Linked DNA regions of Macaca mulatta. The protein of the gene in region 1 purifies or fractionates together with the protein of each later gene. This does not show direct contact. Links are inferred from orthologs where the notes say so. Each region holds a gene or a part of one and is shown on either strand. Other genes may lie near its edges. The genes, in order: CCNK and CDK12.

Region 1 (4,289 bases):
AAACTCTAAAGCACTGAATGCCTCTCCCTGGTAGGGCACTGCGCGTGTGGAGCACGGCCAGGGACGCGTGGGAAGAAAGACGACCTATTTCCTACGACCGTCTTCCTAACTGGACCGAGCGGGAGGAGGCGGGGGCTGGTCCCCGGGCACCCCGGTGGGCACCGAGAACTCGCAGAGAGGAACATAAAACCGCACGGCCTTCCCCGAGCAGCGGGGAGACGGGAGGAAGGAAGGAAATGAGAGCTCGACCCGGCCGCGCGCCGAGCCGAGCCGACCAGCCCGAGGGACCAGGGCCCCACCCGAGAGCAGGAGCGAGGGCCGGGGACAGGAGACCAAGCGCGGGGAGAGCGCTGCCTGCACCTGCCACCACCTCGAGACCGGGTGGCGCGAGGCCCGGGAGCGTGGGCGGCAGAGGGGACCGGGCAGCGGCGAGAGCGCGCCTCCCGCCCCGCAGGGCGCCCGGGCAGAGGCCGACCGGAGCCCTCCGACCCCGCCGGGCCCTCCCCGCCCAGGCACCCGAGCGCACACCTGCCCCCTTCAAGCCCTGGGCCCAGAGCGGCAAGCGGAGACCCTGGCGGGGGCGCGGGCCGGACTTCGGCCGAGGGGCGCTGGCCAGGGCGAGGGACGGCCTCGTAGAGCTCGGAGACGCAGCGCGAGTTTTCCCCGCAGCCCGCGGGCCGCGCGCGCGCAGAGACCGCCGCCAGCACTCACCTGCCCGCTTCCCTTAGCGCAGCGGGAACGACGCACTCCGGCCCGGACCCCGCCGTCCGCCTCAACCAACCCCCAGGCGGTGGCGGCGGTGGCGGCGGCGGCGGCGGCCGGACGGGAGGGGCGGGACGGCAGCCTGAGACGGCCCCGCTGCCGCGGCCCAACCCTGCTCCGCCCGCCCCGGACCCCGCCCCCGGGCCGCCGCCGCCGCTGCTCATTGGTCCACACCTCGGACGCATGGGCGCGGCCCCGCCCCGCCGCCCAGCCGGCGTTCCGTCCGGGGTCCTCCCCAGCCAGTGGGCTGGCGGCTCCCGGGGACGAGAGCGGCCGGCTCAGCGGCCGCCAACCCCGAAGTCGCAATTGGCTGCGTTCGCCCCCGCCAGAGCTCTGATTGGACGAATCTCGACCCGGGCCCCGCCTACGCGCCCAAGTTCCGTTAGCAGGTTCGGTTGCTCCAGAATGCCTTTTTGCTCCAAGGGGCGGGACCGACGGGATGGGCCCTGTGACTGGCTCCTCCCCCTGCACGCAGCAGCCACTGTCCCGCGGGGCGGGCGGGCGGGCGGGGAGGAGAGCGGCGGCTTGTTCCTCTTTTGAGAGCTCTGCTTTCTTCCCATTGGTTGACAGGCATCCTACTCTCTCCGCCCCTCCGGTCGCTTGGTTTTCGTCTCAAGACGCAGCGTGATGACGTAGTTCCCCGACATTCCACATGCAAGATGGCCGCAGTACGCAAGGAGAGACGTCGCTAAGGGGCTTGCCTGAAGCGAGAGGTGAGTGACCCACCGACTGCGGGCAGCACCGCCCACCTCCCGCGTATCTGGAGGTCAGAGTAGGTTATGGTCAACCGCCGCCATCCACTGGCGGAGTCTCTCTTTCCGGATTCTGCCTCCCTCCGCTAACCTCCGGTACACATTGAACTTAGCGGGCGGCGCGGGGCTGTGGGGCGGGCGTGTAGAGAGGGTCTGAGGCGCCGGGGCGGGGCAGGGAGGCCGGGCTCAGTCTAGAACTGGTAGCGGCCCTCGCACTGGGGAGCAGTCAGAGTTCGGGGACTTTCTAGGGGTTGGACAAAAGGGGCAGGGGTGTTAACCGCGCAGTCTCACAGCCACAGACTGCTCATATCTCCCCGATTATTTCGCGGCGTATTAGTCCCAACCTTGGCTAGGCCTGAGACTTTTTGGAGGTTGTTCCATGTCTAGGGTACTCCGACTTTGGAGTTTTGAAGAGCCACGTAACGAGGGTGCGACTAAGAATGAGGAAAAGGCACTTCCGCGGTTAGATTTAGTTGTTGCCGAGACATCGTCTTTACGGACGCGCTCCTGGTGGTTGCTTTGGTTTGTTATGAGAGAAATTGTTCTTTAGAAAATTGGAGCGTAAATCTAGAGGTTATCTGACAGCTCCTAAACTATTGTCTGCCCAAGATAGGCTCGGTAGTGCTCGCTAAATTTAGATTGCCAGTTAAACGGAGCTTTTGCTAAGTCATCTGAGGTTAGGAACTTCTAAGCATTTCTTAAGGGTGGTCTATGTTTTTAAGGGAAACTTGGTGATGTTTGTGTATCTCGATGTAAATCGCTGTTTACAGATATCTAGCACAATGCCTTGCAATTGTAGGTGCCCACTAAAAGTTTGTATGAATGATGTTGCTAGAATGAAAGCGAGGAGCTTTCAGCGCCTGGAACACTGCCTGACGTTTAATAAGCCCTCCGTATTGCTGAATGAAAGAATGGATAGATGGTGGTAATGGTAATAGTATTGATAGACATCTGGATTAAAGTTATGCCCTTAGGATGCTTACCTGTTAAATAATCTTGACTATGAATATAGTAATTATCCGAGATTGTTTTATTCAGAGCGACTACCACTGCTGTCTTTTAGGGTTTTTTCCCCCTCTTGTATCTCATTTCGATTATACTGTGATGCAGTATTCCAGCATATTAGTCGATTTCTAGGCAAATCCTGTTTAAATTTGTTCCATTTTGAAAATGTAGGTTGCACCAACAAGCAATAAAAACTATTCGAGTTGTTAATGAGGTTCTTAAATGTTAAATGCTGTTTCTAAAATTGAATGTCATAAAGAAAAATTGGTCATAGCCGTGGCCTATAAAATGGGCTAGTTCATTTTAGGACGTTATATTTGAAAGCAGTGACTCTGCTTAGTGTCTAAAAGGGAGGACAGTGTTTTCTGCTTGTTTTCTTTAAAACTGGATGAGGACAAAAAAATCTAGAGGAATTAAATTCAAGGTAATTGAGGAGATTACAGAGTGATCATATTTTTAAGCTCAGGTAAATTGTATACCAGAGTATTTGCAGATGACTTTATAAAATCATTATTCATAAATTTTGAAAAATCCTAAAAGTGCAGTTAATGATAGAAGACTAGAGTCTGGTAAATGTCTCAGTTTTCACACAGAACCATTCGATGGCCCTTGGCTGCTAGGAACCTATTAATAAACTTTTAGAATCTGGTTGGAAGAGCCAACAAGTTTATGAGTACTTGGGAAAGGAGAGCTGATTCCCTGAAGCCAACAGAGCTTCAATAAGAAAAGGCCAGGTGAGGCCAGAGGTGGTGGCTCACGCTTATAATACCAGTACTCTGGGAGGCCAAAGCTGGAGGATCACTGAAGCTCAGGAGTTCAAGACCATCCTGGGCAACATAGTGAGACCTCATCACTAAAAAAAAATAAAAAAATTAGCCAGATGTGGAGGTGCATGCCTGTGGTAGCTAGGGAGACTGAGGCAGGAGGATCATTTGAGTTAGAGATCAAGGCTGCAGTGAGTCGTGATCACGTGACTGCACTCCAGCCTGGGCGACAGAGCAAGACCCTGTTTCAAGAAAAAGCCAGGTGACACAAATCATTTCCTTTTGTTACTAGACTGGTGGTGATTGGGGATTGCTGGACGTAAGTTCGTTTAAGTTTATTTAGGACACAGTCTTCCAACAAGATTCTAATACTGTGTCTAGATACAAGAGTTAAATATGCATTGGATAAGGTGTGGTTAGATGGATTGATATCCATGCAAATTACCAACCCCAAAATGTTGATTAATGGGTTGATGTAAACCTGAAGAGTTGTCTTTGGAGATATGCTACAGGACTCTGGTGTTGCCCTTGCTCTGATTAACACTTTTTTTTTTTTTTTGAAACGGAGTCTTGCTCTGTCGCCCAGGCTGGAGTGCAGTGGCCTGATCTCAGCTCACTGCAAGCTCCGCCTCCCGGGTTCACGCCATTCTCCTGCCTCAGCCTCTCGAGTAGCTGGGACTACAGGCGCCTGCCACCTCGCCCGGCTAGGTTTTTTTTTTTTTTTTTTTGTAGTTTTAGTAGAGACGGGGTTTCACTGTGTTCACCAGGATGGTCTCGATCTCCTGACCTCGTGATCCACCCGTCTCGGCCTCCCAAAGTGCTGGGATTACAGGCTTGAGCCACCGCACCCGGCCTCTGATTAACACTTTTTTATTACCAACTTTAAATATATAAACAGCATGATTCTCAAGTTAATAAATGCACTCAAACCATGTAGTGATAATCAGCCACACATTAGATGACACTCAGAAATCAAAGAGTTCTTAAAGGCTGGAATATAATAATA
Region 2 (4,597 bases), on another chromosome or scaffold:
GCCGAGACGGGCGGATCACGAGGTCAGGAGATCGAGACCATCCTGGCTAACACGGTGAAACCCCGTCTCTATTAAGAAATACAAAAAAAAAACTAGCCGGGCGAGGTGGCGGGCGCCTGTAGTCCCAGCTACTTGGGAGGCTGAGGCCGGAGAATGGCGTGAACCCGGGAGGCGGAGCTTGCAGTGAGCTGAGATCCGGCCACTGCACTCCAGCCTGGGTGACAGAGCGAGACTCCGTCTCAAAAAAAAAAAAGTTTAAAAAAAAAATAAAAATAGGCCGGGCGTGGTGGCTCACGCCTGTAATCCCAGCACTTTGGGAGGCCGAGGTGGGCGGATCACAAGGTCAGGAGATCGAGACCACGGTGAAACCCCGTCTCTACTAAAAATAGAAAAAATTAGCCGGGGGCAGGGGCGGGCGCCTGTAGTCCCAGCTACTCGGGAGGCTGAGGCAGGAGAATGGCGTGAACCCGGGAGGCGGAGCTTGCAGTGAGCCGAGATTGCGCCACTGCACTCCAGCCTGGGCGACAGAGCGAGACTCCGTCTCAAAAAAAAAAAAAATAAATAAAATAAAATAAAAATAAAAATAAAAATAAAAAAAATAAAAATAAAAAAATAAAATGGAGGAGGAAACATTAAGAATTCCAGCCCCTGACAGCTAGGAACACTCTGCAGCTTGATGTACTCACATCATTTATGAATAATTGTAACTTTAAGTCAGCAAAAATTACACTGAAATACAAAAGCCATGTATGAGGCAGGCGTGGTGGCTCAAGCCTGTAATCCCAGCACTTTTGGAGGCAGGAGGATTGCTTGAGCTCAGGAGTTCAAGACCAGCCCCATTTTACACCTGAAGCAACTCAGGCACAGAGAAATTAACTAATTTGCTAAAGGTCAAAAAGCAACATTAGGATTCCACAAAGTTCTAACTAAAGCCCACCTTCTGTTTTCGTGAACAGAGGTGAGGCCACAAAGGAGTCAAAATATAAGGAAGGCATTATTACCATGTGTTTTAGAGAAAGATTTTGAAAATTGTCAGCGGTCACAAGGTAGGTCAGTGATGATGCTGTAAAGAAAACCAAATTGTCCTTGGAACCAATTTCTGCTAGGTTATACCATCAAAAGGGTAACAGATTAATCAGTTGAATTTCCACTAAAACATCAGTTAAAAGACAGGAATCTTTTGTAAATTATTAAAACAGTGCCAAGTAGGAAATGAATAAATGTACAGATTTGGGGACTCAGTGGACAACACAAATAGGATAACCTAGGCAAGTAACTTTAATACAAACGAAACTTTGTAATTTCTTAAGTCTTCAACCAGGTCCCATAGAGTCTAAAGCACTAATACCAATATGATTTTTAAAAATTTTAAACTAAGCAACAGAAACAGCTAAACATGCTCTGGGAACTAGTATCAACTCCATCCACTCACTAAGCAGAAGCCTTTGACATTTCTCACTTACAAGCTTACAACTGAAGACCCCACCACTGGAAGTACCTACCTTTAGGGGTTTGAGGCCTATATACTCTTCACTTTTCGTTCTGGGTTAAGGGGAGACAGATTCACACACTGCAACGACTAGCCAACAGCAAAGTGTTCTAATCAATGATGAACACTGCAGGCTTCCACACAATGTTAACACGCTGAATGCCAATTCCTCGCAACCCACCCTAAATGAGGAAGGACTGTTAGACAAATAGCTCACCTGGGGAGTGGACTCCGACTCAGGGACCGCTTGCTCAGGAAAGGGCTGCTGGACCGCCTTCGACCATAGGGGCTGGGCGATCGCCCGCTGTAAGAGCCGCTCCTTTCGTAGCTGGACGACCGTCTCCTGCTATAGGGACTGACAGACCTCTGTCGCCTACTGTAGGGGCTCGGTGACCGGGTGCTTGACTGGTAGGCCGAAGGCTCTTTGTAAGGGGGGCTGATCGACTGCCTTCTCGAGGTACTTCCAGGACTTTTCTTGTAGGAGTCATAATTGCTCGAGGTATGAGATCTTGGGGGACTAAGGTCATAATCTTGGCCATAAGAAGCTCCCGAGGGGCTATCATCTTGTTTGGAGCTGTCAGACCACTTCCTGTGGGGGCTCCTGGATCTCCGTTTGGGGCTGTCCACTGTTTTGTAACTTTTGGGTGTTTCCCTTTTTCGATGACTTTTACTCCGGTCTTTGTGCCCAGACTTCAGCTCCCGTTCTTTCCTGGTCTTCTCCTTGTGGAGCTTGGATGACCTGGATTCCTTGCTGCTGCTTTTGGCTACCTGCGCCTTCCCATAGTCATCAGTCTCCTCATTCGAACGCTTTGAACTTCCCGATATCCGGTCCTTCATCGATCCCGACTTGCTGGAGACTTCCTGGCTTTTTTCTTTTTCGGTCTGTTTAGCTTTTAGTAAGTCCCGGGAACGCCTGTGCTGGTGGTGACGATGTTTGTGCAGGCGGTCGCTCCGATCTGATCCACGACGTTCGTCGTTCTCCCTTCTGTCTAGTTTGAAGGCCATGTCATCGGAGAAGGTGTCGGAATCAGAGCTGATATCATCATACTCCACCAAAGGTTTGATAACCGTGCCCAGGGATGCTGCTTCGGGGGTCACCAACCCCATGTCTTTGGAGTGTTTGGACTTATGCCGCTTGTGCTTCGACACCAAGCGGTGACGCTCTCTGCTGTTAGAGCTGCCGCCTCCCGATGACGGCTGCAAAGTTCCAGAAGCTCCTCCACTCCCGTCCTTCTTGCCCCCATGTCTCTCTGAATTGGGCATTCCCTTTCCCCTGACCTGAAGAAGGGAAAAAAGTTCCCCAGCACTCCAAAAAGCAACCCCCACCCTCCCCCCCAACCCCAACTCCACGCCCACCAAAGCGCCCCAGGAAGGGGGTGGGGAGGGCAGGGACCGTAGCCCAGACTCCTCCTCCCTCCCGACGCCTCAGCACCCTCCTACATGAGGTGGGGGGTGAAGGAGCGAGGGAAGAAATGAGAGTTCCTCGGCAGTGGAGTTGCGAGACAACGGGGAGCTGCTCAAGTCTGTTTCCTTTTCTCCCCGCGCCGAGCCAGTCCTCAGGCCCGGGCGCCAGGGAGGTCGAGGAAGTGAGAAGCCGACGGCCCGGGGCTGTGGGGCCGACTCCGGCTCTGGGGCCCTGCGAGGACTACGCGGGCCCTTCCCCTACCCGGTAGCCCGGCTCAGGGCGGCTTCCTGTCGCCGGGATCCCGCGGCCTAGGTGCCTCACGCCCCCTTTGTCCCTCGTTCCTGAGGGAGCCCCTTTTCTTGCCTCCGTTTCACCTCCACACCACACACACACTCTCCCTCACACAGACTCAGTCACACACTAGATTAAACCGAAACGGCACTTAGAGGAGGGGGGAGGGGCAATCCCAGAAATCGTCGCGAAAGTCCAGTAGCCTCTCGCGATGTTTCATGCTTTGCTTTCACCTCATCCCGCTGCTTCATCAAACAACGCGAGATCAGGTCCCAAACTAGAAACGCGTTTCACCTGACTCTCGCGATGAACTCTCTCTCCCCATTTGAACAAAGCTTTATTGAAACGGAACAAACCGAGTTTTTTTTTTTTAACCAAAACTTTATCGATAAGTGATTAAACAAACACTCCCAGGCTCCCTGACAAACTAATTTTAACTTCCTTTTTAACAAATCTTTTAACTACCAGGATGACTTTGTTTTTTGTTTTCTTTTGAGACGGAGTCTCGCTCTGTCGCCCAGCCTGGAGTGTTAGTGGCGCGATCTCGGCTCACTGCAACCTCTACCTCCCAGGTCCAAGCGATTCTCCTGCCTCAGCCTCCCGAGTAGCCGGCATTACAGGAGCCCGCCACCATGCCCGGCTAACTTTTGTGTTTTTAGTAGAGACAGGGTTTCACCATGTTGGCCAGGCTGGTCTCTACCTCCTGACCTCAAGTGATCTTCCCGCCTCGGCCTTCCAAAGTACTAGGATTACAGGCGTGAACCGCCGCGCCCGGGCGTTTTGTTTGTTTGTTTGAAACAAGGTCTCTCTCTGTTGCCCAGACTAGAGTGCAGTGGCGCGATCTTGGCTCACTGCAGCCTCCATCTCCGGGGCTCAAGCAATCCTCCCACCTCAGCCTGCCGAGTACTTGGAACTATAGAGTCGCGCCACCACGCCGTGCTAATTTGTTTCTATTTTTCGTAGTGCTGGGGTTTCGCCATGTTGCCCAGGCTAGTCTCGAACTCCTAGACTCAAGCGATCCTTGGTCTTGAACTCCTAGACTGAAACAATCTGCCCACCTGGTCCTCCCAAAGTGCTGGGATTACAGGCTTGAGCCGCTGCACCCGGCTGAGATTATTTTTTACAGAGCAAAAGACAAATGTGGGGACATTTCAACCCAAGTCCCTGAGTGTTTTAACAGTGCTTCCAACATATAGGGTGTGTGCTACGTGCCAAGCATTTTACATACATTATCTCTAATTTTCACAAGTATCCTGCAAAACACGAGACTTTCATCCCCATTTTATAGAAAAGGAATCCCAGCCTCAGGGAAGTTGAATCATTTAGTCCAACAAGTGCCACAGTTAACATTCAAATTCATGTCTTTTTGAGACTAAAGCACAAGCTCTTCCATCCTATGGCGCTATCTCCTC

Evidence for each region.
Region 2: the proteins of CCNK (region 1) and CDK12 purify together in Homo sapiens (affinity purification with mass spectrometry; 6 studies listed by BioGRID and IntAct, with this or other methods). This does not show direct contact. The link is inferred for Macaca mulatta from reciprocal best matches to the Homo sapiens genes CCNK and CDK12.

What each region holds. Positions count from the first base shown.
Region 1 is NC_133412.1:172,803,674-172,807,962, forward strand, and holds the start of CCNK (cyclin-K), read left to right. Parts: upstream 1-1,404; 5' UTR 1,405-1,475; intron 1,476-4,289. UniProt on the Homo sapiens protein: Regulatory subunit of cyclin-dependent kinases that mediates activation of target kinases.
Region 2 is NC_133421.1:63,802,886-63,807,482, reverse strand, and holds the start of CDK12 (cyclin-dependent kinase 12), read right to left. Parts: upstream 2,814-4,597; 5' UTR 2,753-2,813; coding exon 1,707-2,752; exon of another isoform or gene 627-1,706; intron 1-626. UniProt on the Homo sapiens protein: Cyclin-dependent kinase that phosphorylates the C-terminal domain (CTD) of the large subunit of RNA polymerase II (POLR2A), thereby acting as a key regulator of transcription elongation.